Linked DNA regions of Coturnix japonica. The protein of the gene in region 1 interacts with the protein of each later gene in a biochemical or structural test. Links are inferred from orthologs where the notes say so. Each region holds a gene or a part of one and is shown in the gene's direction. Other genes may lie near its edges.

What was found.
Region 2: the proteins of ESR1 (region 1) and NCOA7 form a complex in vitro, tested with the Homo sapiens proteins (2 studies listed by BioGRID). The link is inferred for Coturnix japonica from reciprocal best matches to the Homo sapiens genes ESR1 and NCOA7.
Region 3: the proteins of ESR1 (region 1) and SMARCE1 form a complex in vitro, tested with the Homo sapiens proteins (3 studies listed by BioGRID). The link is inferred for Coturnix japonica from reciprocal best matches to the Homo sapiens genes ESR1 and SMARCE1.
Region 4: the proteins of ESR1 (region 1) and NR0B2 form a complex in vitro, tested with the Homo sapiens proteins (2 studies listed by BioGRID). The link is inferred for Coturnix japonica from reciprocal best matches to the Homo sapiens genes ESR1 and NR0B2.

Annotation. Positions count from the first base shown.
Region 1 is NC_029518.1:44,172,475-44,176,699, forward strand, and holds the start of ESR1 (estrogen receptor 1), read left to right. Parts: upstream 1-1,425; coding exon 1,426-1,859; intron 1,860-4,225.
Region 2 is NC_029518.1:54,320,344-54,324,385, reverse strand, and holds the start of NCOA7 (nuclear receptor coactivator 7), read left to right. Parts: upstream 1-1,242; 5' UTR 1,243-1,373; intron 1,374-1,622; exon of another isoform or gene 1,623-1,838; intron 1,839-2,003; exon of another isoform or gene 2,004-2,119; intron 2,120-4,042. UniProt on the Homo sapiens protein: Enhances the transcriptional activities of several nuclear receptors. Involved in the coactivation of different nuclear receptors, such as ESR1, THRB, PPARG and RARA.
Region 3 is NC_029542.1:4,157,577-4,161,553, reverse strand, and holds the start of SMARCE1 (SWI/SNF-related matrix-associated actin-dependent regulator of chromatin subfamily E member 1), read left to right. Parts: upstream 1-1,177; 5' UTR 1,178-1,295; intron 1,296-1,395; exon of another isoform or gene 1,396-1,414; intron 1,415-1,673; 5' UTR 1,674-1,717; coding exon 1,718-1,724; intron 1,725-2,265; coding exon 2,266-2,309; intron 2,310-3,977. UniProt on the Homo sapiens protein: Involved in transcriptional activation and repression of select genes by chromatin remodeling (alteration of DNA-nucleosome topology).
Region 4 is NC_029538.1:1,621,961-1,626,158, reverse strand, and holds NR0B2 (nuclear receptor subfamily 0 group B member 2), read left to right. Parts: upstream 1-1,398; 5' UTR 1,399-1,578; coding exon 1,579-2,104; intron 2,105-2,541; coding exon 2,542-2,822; 3' UTR 2,823-3,800; downstream 3,801-4,198. UniProt on the Homo sapiens protein: Transcriptional regulator that acts as a negative regulator of receptor-dependent signaling pathways. Specifically inhibits transactivation of the nuclear receptor with which it interacts.

The DNA of each region.
Region 1 (4,225 bases):
TTTCTGGTTTCTTGCATTTTTTCAAAGGTTGCATTGAATAACTGTGGAGTTGTTTAGTGTAGGCTTTGCTCGTATTCAAATCATACTAACTCAAGTCCATATATTAATGTGTTTAGGGTCAACATTAACCTGTTTAACTGAGTGAATTGCAGACCACAACAATGATGCTAGAGAAATTGGGACGGTTTCTGAAGGTTTTCATTTAGCTGGTTCAGGAGATGTGGTTTGTGAAAAGTTAAAATTATTTGGGATGAGATTGCAAGATGAGGTATGCATGCCACACCTTTTCATTATGTCCTTTCTCCACCTTTTTTTTTTTTTTTTTTTTTTTTTCCCCTAAAGATAACTTTGAGAATTATTTCAGTTTACTTTAACACTGATTCCAATCAAGTACTTTATTTTCAAGTTGATAGCAAAATCTAAGCTTGCTGAGCTTTTGTTTGTGGGAATAGAAAAAAATAAAATAAAAAATCCTGTATTCCTTTTTTGTGCGCTGAAATCTTTCTTCCTAGTTTCTAAGGTCTTACCATGGCAAAGTCTGAAAGATGCTTTGCTTCATTGTTTTACAAGGTAAAACAGAAACAGACAGGAATTTATGGGCTAATCTAAATTTTTTCCTCACTTTTTTTAATGTAAATTTTCACTTCACTAGTTTGGGTCACTGTTACTGATAAAGCTTGTTATAAACCTTTTGTCCTACACAAATCTTTTACATTCTTTAATTTCTGTTAGCTAGTTTTGTTGACAGAGACTTGTTACACACACAGATGCATGCGCTTGCACATGCATTTTGCTTTGCCATATCTCAGTTACAGCATAGTCCTATCCAGGGTCATTACAATGTACACATTACATATTTCTAGCAAACATGAAAATGAATCAAACAGGGAGAGATAAGCACAGATAGATTGGAGCCTGCTGAGGAAATAAAAGGCAGTAATCTGGCTGACCACTGGACTAGTCTTTCTGGTCTGATTTCAGCGTCCTTTCCCGTTAGCTGCTGTGGAGTGCTGGCTGCCCTGCAGTGAAAAATTAAATGACTAGCAAGAATAAAGTAACATTTAGTGGGACAATTGTTTGGTGTACCTCCAAAACTAATTGTTTCTGAAGTGATGTTTAAATCAGCGTCGGCACAAGGCAAGAGCCCCTGGCTTGCAGCCAGCACCTTGTAACGCATATTAGAGCAGATGAGGAGTTCTCAAAAGTTAGAGGGAGAGGGAGAATGTGCCTTTCCAGTGCTCACCCTGCATTTGTTTGTATACTCCTCCTCGCCGAGATCAGAGGAATACCTGTGTAGTGCTGCTTTAACATGATTTCTGCTGAGCCTCAGAATAGGTTCTGGTGTTTTTTTTAGGTGGACTGCCAGCTGCCGATCTTGCTGTTGACAGTAAAAGCAGATATGTTCCTTGCTCCCTGCCATTAGCAATGACCATGACCCTTCACACCAAAGCCTCTGGAGTTACCCTGCTGCACCAGATTCAAGGCACTGAACTGGAGACTCTGAGCAGACCTCAGCTGAAGATTCCCCTGGAACGATCGCTCAGCGACATGTACGTGGAAAGCAACAAGACAGGAGTTTTTAACTACCCAGAAGGGGCCACCTACGATTTTGGTACTACCGCTCCAGTGTACGGCTCTACTACACTCAGTTATGCCCCTACTTCTGAATCTTTTGGGTCCAGCAGCCTGGCAGGATTTCACTCTCTGAACAATGTCCCACCAAGCCCAGTGGTGTTCTTGCAAACGGCACCCCAGCTCTCACCCTTCATCCATCACCACAGCCAGCAGGTACCCTACTACCTTGAAAACGAACAGGGCAGCTTCGGGATGAGGGAAACTGCTCCTCCAGCCTTCTACAGGTAAGTGCAACAGAGAATTTCTCTTTCTTCTTTAAGCAGCTATGCTGAGAAATCAGAATATTGAAATATGTCTGCCCTACACTTTCATTTTTGTGTAAAGGACTGTGTAATCTTGTGGAATCTTCCATGATATCGGGACCATAAAAATAGCAGAGGATAAAACAAAACTGTAACTCACAGCTTACTGTGCCTGTGATCTGTAAATAATGAAAACTGTAAGTAAATGGGAAACAAATTAGATAATGAGTGTAAATGTTTCCTGGGAAAACATGAAATCATAATTGATTAAGGAGTGGCAAACAATCTCCTTGTTGCAGTATATTAAAATTACTGTCTAGAAGCATACTGAAAATGTGCAATTGGCTGTTTGTTCAGCTCTTAGCTGCTAGTAAGAGTATTACTTACCTCTGGTATCCTTTACAGGATAAGTGACTTATATAGGAAGTAGTTCACAGGCACAATATCCTTCCAAATCAAACTGTTTGAACTGATTCAATGACAGTATTTCAGTCAGCAACCACTTTAATGAGCTGCAATAAGAGCTATGTGCCTTGCATTTTTAATCAAACTTTGATATATATTAAGCATAAATCTAGCATGCTGCATTTCAAAATAATTTTTATAAATTTAAATATGATTTCTTTTTAAATTTATATTTATCCTTCAATAGAAGAATTTTAATACGCACTGGAAATTGTGAAAGCATATACTTAATTTCTGACATATGTGTGAGAAACTGATAGAACTGTAGCTTCCAGGAAAATATAATCAAACACACCAGTACTCACATTGTTAATCTTTGTGCACTGTTAATAGCTTAATTTTTTACTGGCATATAATAATGGACTATAGCAAATTAAAGTGAACGGTTAGCTCCTAAATGCTGTCCATGTCAGCTTATTTGTGAAATACAGGTGATTTTTATACAAATGGAGAGACCCTCTAAAAATAAAACCAGGTTATCCTTTCCCTGTCGAGGCCAGACTTAACTGTTGCTGGGAACAGCAATGTAGGTTATTAAACACAGTGTCACGCAACCTGAGATAATCTTGTAGCAGAATCTGATCCAAAAAAACAGATGGTGATTGCACTTTTTGCAAATGATTAATCGGTTTTGGGGATCAAGTGGAATAAAGACAAGTGAAAAGATAACGGTTAGGCCAGGCAGCCCAACTAATATGTCTCTTAGCTGAACTGATTCAGACAAAATGTATTTTAGAGCAACTGAAGGCAATAACTCTAGGAGGAATTAATGTACTTGAACATTGAGTATCTGGATTGTTTAACAGTGATGTGGGTGTGAAAGTGTGTTTTGCACTAGATTCCATGTTGTTTTTATTTTATTTTTATTTTTATTTTTTTTTTATTTTTCAATATGATTATCCAGGGCAAAACTCTGTTAGAAAGCGTTTAAGGGACATGTGGTGTGTAAACAGCTGAACAGTGAGTTTGTGAAGCTGAAATGCACATGCAGGAAATGGGCTAAAGTGAGGGCTTTTTACTTGAGGAGGGAGAAAAACCAAGAATCAGTTGGAAATGAAAACTGAACTGTGGAAATGGCATTATTTTATTTTCTAACAGTGAGCGGAGGTGGGACACTTCAAAATAAAAATGGCATACATTGTAGTAGTAACATTCAGGCACTGCAACAAGCATTAAAGGGCAGCGGTGTATTCCCATTGTCCTGATGTTTTCAGTCAAGGATAGGCATGTCCTTTCAAGATGCATTTTAGATGTATATAATATATGAGGCTTAAAGCAGTGGAAATTAGGTGAATGTATGATCTTGGTTGTGCAGGTGGTTTATCCGAATACAGAGTTACAAGACTGATTTAATGGCCTCTTCTGGCCTTGATTCTGTATTGCACATTTGACATGGTAATAGGAAATGTGGAACAAAGTCCTCCCCATGATTATCGTCTGTTACGAGGCATAGTACTGTTAGGATTAAATAGACAAAGCTTTGCTGTTTAAAAATTTCACAAAGACCATATTTGGGAAGTTGTCATATTGACAAAATTAAATGTTAGGTTCTTATTCTTGTATACCAGTTATAAATAGTATGCTAGAAATATTCTAAATAGGTGTTCGGTGTCTGGGAGACATCTCATTATCTAATCATGAGGTACAAGAGCAAGTTCTTTCAAAAATTTTAGTGCATTATTTTCCAATTTGCTTTATTCATTTGTCTGTTCCAATCCCACCTGAATTCAAAAGAGAACATAAGGCAGTGTAATCTGGCAACAAACACATAGATTTTGGAGATTTGAAGATGTCTAAGTAACAAAATGATGAATTTCTGATGTAACATACTAGTATGAGTGGTAAAGGCGTAAAAAACTAAAACCAAAGCCATACAAAAATTT
Region 2 (4,042 bases), about 10 Mb from region 1:
GTGATGTGCTTGATGGAGAGTAAACTCCTACATCTTAGAATAGGGTGTCACTGACATTTAAATTCATCTGGGAGATGGCTGCACATCCGTACGAGAGCTGCATTCATACTTGAAATCATAGAATCCTACAGTCACAGAATGGCTTAGGCTGGAAGGGACCTAAAAGACCATCCAGCCCCAACTTCTGCCATGGGCAGGGCTACCACCCAGCAGCTCAGGCTGCTCAGGGCCACATCCAACCTGGCCTTGAGCATCTCCAGGGATGGGGCATCACAGCCACTCTGGGCACCTGTGTCAGGGCCTAGGCACTCTGTCTTAATGATCTCTCTTCTTTTAATTAAAACAATCCCCCTTTGTCCTGTCACTGCCAGACCATGTAAAAAGTTGGTTTCCCTTTTATTTATAAGCTCCATAATCAACACAGATGATTTTGAAAGGGATCTTTAAGCAGTTGTTAGACTATTTAAAGAAGAAAAAAAGCCTATACCAGTTACTTCCCTTTAAATCCAACAAGCTTTGATGTTGACTAACAACGTAACTACTAAGAAAAATGATTCTTATCTGGATGTCCTTGCATACCAATTGCTGTTTTATTGTTTCACGGTCTTTTACCATCTGCATGCACACAAACACATTCTGTGTTACATTAAGTTGCGTTGCTGTTTCTGCAGGTATCTGTCTGTCTATGGACCTCTGTCTTGCAGACTTTGGGATTTAGTGGTGCTGCGATGTGGAAGGCCTTTCCCCTGGAGTTCCTGTCTTTCACAGCTGCTTACTGACTAGAAGAGGGAACAGAAAGTGAGGTCTCATTCAGGCTGCCATTAAGGTCTGGTAGGGTTATCCAGAGCTACCTAAGGTAAAGGAGCAGAGTTTCTGGTAACTTGGATGGGTTTTTGGGGGGTTTGTGGAGTGCTTGTGGGGAAACCTGCATGCGGTGGATGTGCAAACAACAGCAAGCTTACAGACATTTCAGTTTCCAGTGGGTGTAAAAGCATCTGCAAACCTGGCTTTCCAAAAGCGGTGCTTTAGTATTACCCTTAAAAATAACTAAACTGGGGTAAAGCCTTTCCGTCACGCCGAGGAAGACCCTTTCCCCGTACGGTGCTGGCGGCACTGAGAGCCCTGAGCATCTCCCGATTCCCACCTTGCACCCCTACCCGGACTCAGCCCCGCACCACCCACGGGGCCGACCGCGCCCCCTCCCCCGGGTCCGGGGCGGGCCGGGGGCGGCTCGGCGCGGTGGGGCGGAGCCGCGGGCCAGGCCGAGCCCAGGCGGGCCGCTCGGGAGCGGTGGGGCTGGTCCTGCTCCGGCCGAGCGGGGAGCGGTGCTATCTCCGCGGTCGCCATGCCGCCGCCGCTCGCCCTCCTTGCAGGTGCGCTGGGTCGCGGGGAAGGGAGGTCGGGACGCATCCGCCGTTAAGCCGCGGGGTCACTGCCCGGCGTGCGGAGGAGGCGCGGGGCGGGGGCCGGGGCCCGGCGGTGCTGCGGGGCGGGAGGGAGCGGGGGCGGCCGCTCAGCTGCCGTGCGGATGTCGCCCGGAGCCGGGCTGCGCCGCCCTCCGCTCTGCGTCTCGTTGCTTTGCGGGCTGGGGGCTGCGTGCTCGCGGTGCTGCGGTGGCCGTGTGCCCGCCGGGCTGAGCGACGCTGCCTGCGGGGCTCGCTCTGCGGACCCGTAGTTTGGCGGCTGGAGGAGCGGAGCGGAACGAGTCGTTCTGCTGATGGCCTTCAGCCTTCCGAGCGGATTTTTTCCCTAGACCTCGCGTGATTTACTGGAATGTTCCGAGCTCTCCCTGTTAACTTGCAGTGTCTGATGACCGTGACTAGGAAGCACGGCTGGAGGTGCGGCGGTGACTGTTGTCCGTCCGTCCGTCCGTCCATCTGTGTGTGCGCAGCTAACCTCACCCTCGGCATCCGCGTTGGTGCCCGGCCCTGGGGCTGAGCTGCGAGCTGCTGGCAGTGTGTGGTACTGACCGATGCGGCCTCCAGGTGATGGAATCGGGTGATGAATGCTCACGGCAGCCTTCTACCGCGTGTTTACTTTACACGCCGCTGTTACCGTTCGCCCATTAAATCATCGTGCATGTCTTGTGCTAATGCGTAGTAATGGACTTGAAGGACGGGTAGGTGCTCGTTAATTGATTATGGCTTGCTGCAGGATGCTGTGCTCCTGACTAAGTGCCTGTAGTTGGATGATTAAAATGCAGACTGGAGAGCTCTTCCAAGCTGTTGTATAAGCAAGTATTTCCGTAGTGTGGAAATTGTATTATGTTTATATTGGGTTTTGGATGTGCCTATGTGTAAGTTTGTGTGTACGTACTCAGACTTCAGGAAATTAATGAAGAACACAATAGAAAATAGAAAGAAAAGTGTATGTGCCTATATAGTTTCTGAATGGAAGCTACATTATCAGCAACAGATGTAAGGCAAGGTAAAAGATACATAAGTCAAGCGACTGCATTCTCTGTTGTCCTTGCAAGGTTGTCCTTATTCAGGATAATGTTCGTAAATATAAGCAAACTATTTTAAGGATCAAAACCCATAAGTAACTTGGGTTCTGTGAAGATCTTTAGTGGAGTTGTTGGGACTGCTTGCAGACATAACATACTTTACAATGACTTTTCTTTTTTTCTTTCTTCTTTCTTTTTAATGAATCAAATTCTCTAGTTTGATGGAAATTCTGTACTTGGGTTAAATTCAGTACTGTTGTTGTTTATTATGCCATTAAAAAAATAATAATCAGGTATTCTGAAAAATGAGTCTTATCTAAGTTGCAAAGTCAGGTCTCTGAGTCACAGCTCTTGCCTTTGCCCAGTGGGCTGTTCTCTTATGTTTTCACTGGGTCAATGGCCACGTTCCGATTTTTATTTGCTCGTCTATTGCTGAAATGATAAATGATTCCCTTTGGAGATGAAATGACTTAGAATTGATTGGACAAGTACTTATCTGGCAGGGTAGGAATACTGTTTTATTTTGCTTTTTGTATCCAGGGTTTTGAAAGAGAAGACTGAGGTTGGCCAGGGGTTGCCGCTGTAAATACTTGGCTAGGTTATGGGTCTGACCTCTCTTCAGTGGACAGCTTATGTGTAGGTCTGTTCTTTTAAGTGATTCATTGAAAAGTGATTTGTGTTTGAGAATAACATTTCTTTATAAGGTTATTAATAAGACTGTATAAAATGCTCTAGATATGTACAGCATCTGCAGGGGGTCCCTGCAGCCACCCCATCTGGGTGAGCATGTCAAAGGTGGAAATTAGTGCGATCCTCTGGAGCGTGATCTGATGCAAGGACCTGCTGCTTCAGGCAGCTGGAAATTTCTGCTGAAAATAATTACGATGCAAATAGAGGATGAAGGGACTAATTTCCCCTTTGCTTTGAGTGAATCTGCTGTGACCGTGCAAGGAGTGACAGAGTGACAAATCTCTTCCTTCCCACAATCAATAATCTGTACACGTCCGAGGTTTTGCGGGCTCAGCTCTTGTTTTGGTGAAGCATCTGCTGGCTGGTACAGCGCTGAGGGTGGGGGTGTGTACTGGCCTCTGTGCTTCTCATTTCTTGCTCCCTGCTGTGAGGGCACTTAGTCTCAAGGTCTGCTCTGTCTGTGTGTGTGACACAGAGATTGCGCTGCTGCTTCAGGGCCTTCATGTGGGCTGGTATCACTTTCCCTGAAAGAGGAAATGTAACTACAGCTGAGGAGTGAAATCAGCACCAAGAGGGCTCACTAAGGGGCCTCCTTTGGTAAGAAGGAAAATAAAGGTAGGAGAATAGAGTTTTTAGACTTATTATTTTAGATCAGACTTCCTTATTCCCGAGACATTTCTCCCTAGCTTTATTCCTGAGACAATTGTAAGCAAACCAGAGGGGATTATATTCCCACTATAATCACATTGTTTTAGTTTGACGCATCAAGCATGTTATGGGAATATTTTTCTTCCTTTTCTTTTCAAACCCTTCAATTTGTGGGTGGAAAGCCACATGGAAACATCAAGCAGGTGTAAGCAGCTGTGAGCTGCAGCCAAAAGACATCTACTGTTTATTCATTTTGAA
Region 3 (3,977 bases), on another chromosome or scaffold:
TAACGGCCTCTCCTGGCATTTTCACTATGCAGCTTTTTTCGTGTGCTATACTCTGTATGTTTTACAATACTTGAATTTAAACTAAGTTTTAATCGCTTTGAGGCACTTTAAACAGGGATACAAACTTACCAAAGTAAATAGCGGTACAACAATAAAAACAATAAAACCTGAGCTTTGTGTGTCCGTCCTGAGGGGGACTGGGTGGCAGAGAGCACAAACAAAAGCTGGTTTATGATCATTAAACATGTTCAGGGCTCCTGACCTGAACAACCCGCTATAAACAAACCTTGTACAGCAGTAAGAGCACATAGAGTAACATGGAAACGGAGCACAGGCAAACAGAAATGAGAAATAAATAGAAAAACCAACCAACTAAAGCAAAGGAAACAATAAATAACGATCCAGAATGATCAGTATGGAACTGCACTGAACACTGCAGCGACTTGTGCATGTTTAATGCTATCGACACCAAGCACAACTGAATGCAACGTACAACACAATGTAATGAATGTGGTCAAACCCAAGCCAAACCAGGGTTACTTTTCACCTCTAAGTATTTTCTTACCTCCTCCTTAAGGACGTTGTGCCCAGGTGCCGCTGTCGGACCCCAAGGTGCAGGTCTGGCTGCTGGCGGATCTTCCCATCATTATATTCCCTGTGTTATTGAATGGAAATCTCCATCTGTCCATGTCCGTGTCGTTACTTCAGAGCAGAGCAGGCCGCGCTGTGGTATCACAGCCAGCTTCCTCTCCCTTCTATCCCCTCTGGTGTCACACAAGCCCTGTCTATGTGCATTACAGACGATTCCTGCAGTTCTATGTGCATTACAGACACTATTCCTGCAGTTCTATGTATATTATAGACACTATTCCTGCAGTTCTCTGTGTATTACAGACTATTCCTGCAGTTCATGGTCACTCACAGCCGCTTTCTCCCTTTCCCGCCATGTTCTCCTTTCCCGCCACTCGACGCTCCATCTCGCGCCTCACGCGGCCCCAGAGCGCGGCAACGCCGCGCGCCGCCTCCGCCCCAGCCCCGTGAGGCAGCGCTCCCCGCAGATTCGCCACAACGCCTTCCGCTCTTCCTTCTCACCCCTCGCGGCGCGGGGCGGCCCTCGGTCTGACAGCGGCTCCGAGGTGAGCGGGGCGGACGGACGGATCAACCCCGCGCTACTCGGACACCCGCGGGAGGGAGCGGGGCGGAGGCCGTGGCGAAAGTGCGGAGCGGGGCGCGCAGGCGCGGTGTTCGCAGCCGGCTCGGCCCGGGCAGGAACAAAGGAGCGGCGCTGCGGAGCGGTGCGTGTGTGCGGGGCGGGACGGGCGGGGGGGCTCGGTGCCGGGATCGGTTCTGGGCTCGGTTCTGGGCTCGGTTCCGGTCTCGGGTTGGCGGCTCATCGCGGTGCCGAGGGGCTCAGGTGGGCGCTGCCCGCGGGGCGGCTCCGCTCGCGGCCTCTTCCCGGCGGCGCGGCCTCCGCGGTTACACGGGCCGGGCCGGTGTGTGAGGGTCCGTGTGGAGCCACGAGCTGGAACCGAACGGAACCGAGCGGCACCGAACGGAACCGAACGGAACCGAACGGCGGAGGAACGTGAAGTTCCTGCGGGAGAAGCGCCGTGAAATGGCCGCTGGGCTGAGCGGGGTGGCATTAATGGGACGGTTGTTCTTTTGTCTTTCAGAAACACGAATGTAACGTCAGGTGGCTGAAAATTTGCCTGTCAAAATGTCAAGTAAGTTTTCGGGCTTTTCTTCCTTTGGTGAATTTCGGATCCGGTTCCGCGGGCTCTGGGGCGCTGCCTGTGGGCCTTGTGCACAGAGCAGCCGTTCCTGGTTCCCGTGGTGTCTGTTGCTGTGCCGTCAGCTCTCACTGCAGCTCGGGCTGCACGGAGCAGTTCCTGGTGCCCACCTGGAGCTCTCAGGAGCTGCTGCAGCCCAGTCCAAGCGTTTGGTCTCACAGCAAATCTGTCCCAGCTTCTGCTGAGTCCTGCTTCCCTGTTTTGTTTTGTTTCCTTACCCTCTTCTTAACCGATGTGCCTGTAAACGTATCTCAGGTTCCTTCATCTGCCTAAATAAAAGACCAGAAATGTAGCAATGATGTGGGGTTTTGGTTTGATTTTTTTTTTAGTCTCTCCTTTGCTGTGTGCTCCAAAGTCTTTGAGCTGGGTCTGTCTTTTAGTAAATCCCATTAAAGCATTTGCCACAATGGATGCCTCTTAAAGAACTCATTCACATTTTCAAGGATTTTCTTTGCTTACGTTTATATTTTAACAGAAAGGCCATCTTATGCTCCACCTCCTACCCCAGCTCCTGCAACCGTAAGTACAGTGCTTTTTCTCATTAACACAGATCCTGTAGCAGAGCTGTTAGTGACTTACCAGAGCCGTAACAGTGGAGACGCAGCACCTTCCTGTGTTGGAAAAGCACGCTTGTTGTATTTCATTGTTAGTATGATATTCCTTGTTTAAAGTCATCCCAATTTCAGAACAGTTTGCAAAAAAGAAGCTGAACAAACTGGTTTCATCTTAAACATCTGCAGGATGTGGCCCTTTTTTAATCAGCAGTCACTGGGATTATTTACCTGTGTGGCCATTGAACTCATGCAGCCAATGCTGCCCATTGGGATGCTGGAATATTGAAGGCCAAGTCGATACGGTTCATTCTCAGACTCCCTGCTCAACTTTTACACAAATGATGAGCAAAAACAGGGCACGTTTTTGTGCTTCTGACACATTTTCAATGGGATGCAGATTTCTGTTATATTTGGTCAGAAAATGGAGACCCTCCGTGCTGGTAATCGTACTCAGATTTCATGAAAATGCTGATATTTTGGGGTCTGCTGCATGGCAAATCTCTTAACTTACAGTAAAGTGGTATGGAATGCCAGTTAAGAAAACGTGGCAGTGATGTCCAGTTGTATTCCTGCATGTATAAAAGTATCTTGAAATACTCGTGCTGTGGTTGGAAAAGCAGCTGAAAGCAAAGGCAGCTCTTGTTTTGGAAGCAATGCACTCATGGGAGAAAATATTAATGAGTGGAACAAATGAACGAGTAAGGATGCTCTTTAGCATGTGTCATTTCACACAGCTCAATAGATTTGTGCTCTTAGGAGGAATGTGATGGCAGCGGATCTCTCCTGTGGCACAGTGTGGGTGAATACTGAGGTGGTGCATCCTTTAGCCAAGCTATGACTTTGTCAGCAGTGCACACAAAACCAGGTTCATGTTGATGCTTTTATAGCCGTGATGTAGAATGGGTACAGTGAGCACATTGCTTTCAAAGACTGCTGAAATGGGTTTTAACAAAGTGGGACTCCAGTGTGAGACAGTGCAGGTAACGCATGAACCTGGCGTGGTGCTGCAGTGAGTGCTGGTGCAGCGCTCCATCACCCTTACCTGGCTGGTCTGCTTTATTTCCAACACCATCTGAATTCTGGACAAAGAAAAGAGAGTAGCTGAAGTGCAGGAGTGAGACTGACAACCAAGGGGAGACAGTGAACCTTGTGGTGTTTGATTACATCCCTGCTTACCCACATCTGTGTGCATGGAAATTAGATTTTCTCCATGTTCCAGGAGGTGAGAACAAATTGATCCGCCTGCAAGATCGGACAAAGATGTGTTTGGTTGTTCCTAAGATTAGTTTGTGGTTTCTAACCTGCACATTGCATTGCAGCGGTTCTTCAGCTCCGTCAGCCAGCGGCCTCCTAACAGAGCGGCAGCTCCGTGCATCGTCCTCTCTTGGTTTTTCTAATCCTTACAGTTCTCCAGAGTGTTTTGATTCTGCAGACCACCAGTGAAGTCCTCTGCTCCTGCTACTGTTGCACGGATGGTGCTTTGAGACACTCACGTTGTTTTTTTACCCTGTTTGCTGGCAACATCGTGTTCGTTAGGAGGCAGAAGGATGGCAAGAGGAGGAGGCAGAGATTTTTGCTGTTGTAGTAAATGTTGACTTGGGGAATTTTTGCCCCCATACTGCGCGCTGCTTTG
Region 4 (4,198 bases), on another chromosome or scaffold:
ATCTGCAGTATGGACAGGCTATGCTGGTCCCTGTGGCTGCTGTAGGCCTCATTGCTGGGTTCACTCCATTGCACTGAGAGCTGTGTGCATTAGAGTGAGTGGTCCTTATCCCCATAGGGTTCCTATTGCTCCATTAAATCAATCAGCAGGTGCTGCCGCTTCCCCAGGCTGACTTGTGTTGGCCGACAAATGCAGGTAGATGGGTGTTTTTTTGGTGAAAAGCCATCAGTGTGGCCATCAGTTCCATCCCATTTGTGCACCAAGAGCTGCGTGCCCTTAAATCACAGAATCAATCACAGAATGACCCGGGTTGGAAGGGACCTCAAGGATCATGTAGCTCCAACCCCCTGCCTGGCAGGGCCATAAAACATACACATTTACTAGATCAGGTTGCCCAGGAGACCCCATAGATCCCCATAGAGACCCCATAGACCCCATAGACCCCATAGAGACCCCATAGACCCCATAGATTCCCATAGAGACCCCATAGACCCCATAGACCCCATAGAGACCCCATAGAGACCCCATAGATCAGGTTGCCCAGGGCCCCGTCCAACCTGGCCTTGAACACCTCCAAGGACGGGGCATCCACAACCTCCCTGTGCAGCCTGTTCCAGGGCCTAACCACTCTCCTAGTGAAGAACTTCCCCCTAACATCCAACCTAAATCTTCCCTCTTTTAACTTAAAACCATTTCCCCGTGTCCTGCCAAATCACTTGTTCCCATCCTCACAGGGTTCACCAGGCACCCCCTGTGTGAGGAATTCCTCACAGGCCCCACTGGAATCCATAATTGTGTGCTGTCATTTAACTAATGCTGATCAAAACATACAAATTCCAGAGCAATTCAAGGTAAAAACCTATAAACCTGCCTCTCACCTACCCAGCATTACTCCTTCAGCACAATGGGCTGCTGCCTTTAGGTTTAGTCTTTCAGTTCACCACCTTCCTTAACTGCAACAACACCGATCTCCTGTCAACAAGGTTAGGCAAACAGCTGCTGATAAAATGACTTCCAGGTTGCTCTTTCCAAGGCCATTTGCCATGGGGTCCTCGCTTCAGACGAACACCCTGTGTGTGTATGTGTGTGTGTGTATGTGTGTGTGTGTGTGAACTCCTTGGCAGCGACAGCTGCCAGATAGCACAACCTGATTGCAGCGTGGGGCCTTGGTGCCATGGTACAGCCCGGGTTAATGACTTTGTTTATACTGTTTGGGTAATTGTGATAAGGCTGCCCAACCCGCTGCCCCTGCTGGGGTTTCATTGAGAAAACGGCCATTGACGCCATGCTGAGATCCTGCTGGTTCCAGCCAATCAGTCTGGGGACAGCTGGGGTTGGTGGCTTTTTTTTTTTGTTGTTTTTTTTCTTCTTTAATGAGGACCGCTTAATCACGGAGCGGTCAAGGCTGGGAAGGGGTGTTCCACTTGTGACCGAGCCTTATAAGAGCTTGTTTGAACAGCCATGTGCTGGCAGAGCTGGGAGGACAGGTCACTCCCAGATTGAGACGGGGAGGAAACTTACAGGTCTCTCCCATCTGCGGAGTTTCACAGAGGATCCGGGGCTCCCAGTTCTGCTCTGATGACCAGCAGCATAGACATGGACTGCGAGAGGTGTCAGTGCCAGCATGAAGACAAACACCCAGCCATTCTCTACACCCTCCTCAGCCAGAACCTGAGCCACAGCCCACCTCACCAACGCTGCCTGTGCCACCAGCGCTGGACGGTCTGCCTCCGGACACCCCATATCACCTGCCAAGCTGCATCCGACGTGTTGGTGAAAACCATCAGCTTCATGAAAAACCTCCCTTCCTTCCACCTGCTGCCTCGAGGGGACCAGCTCCTGCTGCTGGACAGCTGCTGGGTCCCCCTCTTCCTCCTGGGGCTGGTCCAGGAGACGGTGACATTTGAGGTGATGGAGACCCCAGCCCCCAGCATGCTTGAGAAGATCCTCCTCGATGGCCAAAGCAAAAGGCAGGAGCCTGAGTGGACTCAGCCCATGCTGGCCGCTGTGCAGTGGCTGCAGTGCAGCCTCAACACCTTCTGGAGCCTGGACTTGAGCCCCAAAGAATACGCCTACCTGAAGGGAGCCATTCTCTTTAATCCTGGTGAGTGTTCAACCCTCCCAGCTCTGCCTGCTGGTGGCAAGAGAAAGCCCTGCATGAGTTAGCATTTAAAAACACTGCTCTTGGCTTGGAGTCGCTCAGAGTTTGGGCAAAAGTGTGTGTGAGAGCAGGGAGAGCTGCTCACATCATTAGCACCAGCAATGCAGTTTACCTCTGGGAAGCAGGGAGGAGGGATACTGAAAATGTAGTGTTTAAAAGCAGAGACCTCCTTACCTTGCAATCAAAGAACCCTGGGTCTTACTCTACAAAGCCCATGTTTGCTTCATTAGCTGTATTTACTCCCTCAAAGCAACAGCCCTGAAATACATGTTGTTAATGGCTCTGAGGTTTTTCTCCAAGATACGGGGAGAGAGATGGGAGAAACCTCGAGCTGTTTTCCAGCCTTCCTCTTCACATCCTTCCCTCCTTTCTCTTGGCAGATGTCCCAGGGCTGACAGCCTCCCTGTACATCGAGAGCCTCCAGCGGGAAGCCGAGCGAGCGCTTCAGGAAGTTGTGCAGATCCTACACCCCAAGGACCAGGACCGCTTTACCCTCATTTTACTCATCACCTCCACCTTGAAATCCATCCCTCCTGCCCTCATCACAGACCTCTTCTTCCGACCCATCATTGGCAACGCAGACATTGTCGAGCTCATCGTGGATATGCTGTATGAAATCACCAGCTGGCAGCCGGCTCCTTCACCACGCGTGGCTCTGTGAGCTGCTGTGCTCTGCCACAGCCCTGGGGGTGCTCAACAACACCTGGCAGGGCAGCAGGGAGGACTGTGGAGCAGGCAGTCAGGCACTCAGCTCCACAGGGCTTTGCGTGTGCCTCTCTCTAGGCTGTAGGGCTCAGAGCATAAAGGAAAGCAGCCTTGATTCAGCATGGCTGCTCCACCTCTGCCAGTCTGTTTTGAGGAATGTGAGTGTGTGTGGCTGGTGGTACTGAGTTTCTAGCAAGCAGGCCAGCCCTGTGACACAGAGCAGACTGAGTTAGAGCCTGCTCCAGGCTTTTTATATCTCAGTGAATCCTCAGTTCAATTAAAATCAATGTGTGTTTTGTTAACTCCATGAGATGAGGTTGGACCTCAACTTGCTGCCCGTGATGGCTCTGTGCTGATAGTGGTATTTAGGGGTGCTGAGTATCTTCGGTGGTATCACTTGTAGAGTACAACCAGGTGCAAGCCGTAAGGAATTAGATCTTTAAGTATCAGCCAGTGTCTGCTGTGCATGAAATCTCACAGACAGCCACCAAGAATCCTCCTCAGACAGCAGGAGGGAGAAGCATCAGATCTTACAGGGCGTGCAGCCAGCTTCATGAACGCCTCCTGCCTCTCATCACATCGCATCTCCTCCCCACGATGCCATGAGCTGCAACAGGATTGCTCACAGATTGGATTACCTAAGAGCAGTGAAACGTACGGCAAATAACGCTGCATGAACACCACTTCATCCTCCCTATACACCTCAATATATATATGGCAATACTTGGAATGGCTCAGGAACACACTGAGCTACAGACACTGAACAAACATCCCTGCCTTGAGTTCCAGCTGGTTCAACATAGTAGGAAAGCTCGCTTCTCCTGCCTGCAGCTTTTGTCACTGATGTCAGTATTTAATGAGCGGACCTTCATTTGATTTGTACATAAGATGCAGTAAATTATTTTTTTAATAAAAACGTGTCACATTTTGGTGATTTTTTGTTATATTTCTGGCATTTTGGACTTGTAGAAATAGCTGTTGGAGGTACAGTGTGGGAAGGACACCTGAATGCAGGGATGGAGCATCATAGGGAATCATAGGGGAGCATTGCAATGCAGCCCCATGAGCTGTGCTGGGCACACACTGCTCTGTGCACTGAAACCTGCAGAGGCAGCACAACTGCAGCCTGTCTGTGCTGCACCTTCCTTCACGCACACAGCCACACCTGGAGGTGCTGATGCAGGAGGTTGGTGCTGACTCACCTGGATGTGCACACACAGCCCTCAGCCCACAGGAGAACAGCCATACAAAGCCTCCTGGCTCCCCACCACCATAAACACACCGTGTTTGAACAGCAGCCTGCTGGGAGAACTGTGTGCTGCCCATCCGTGC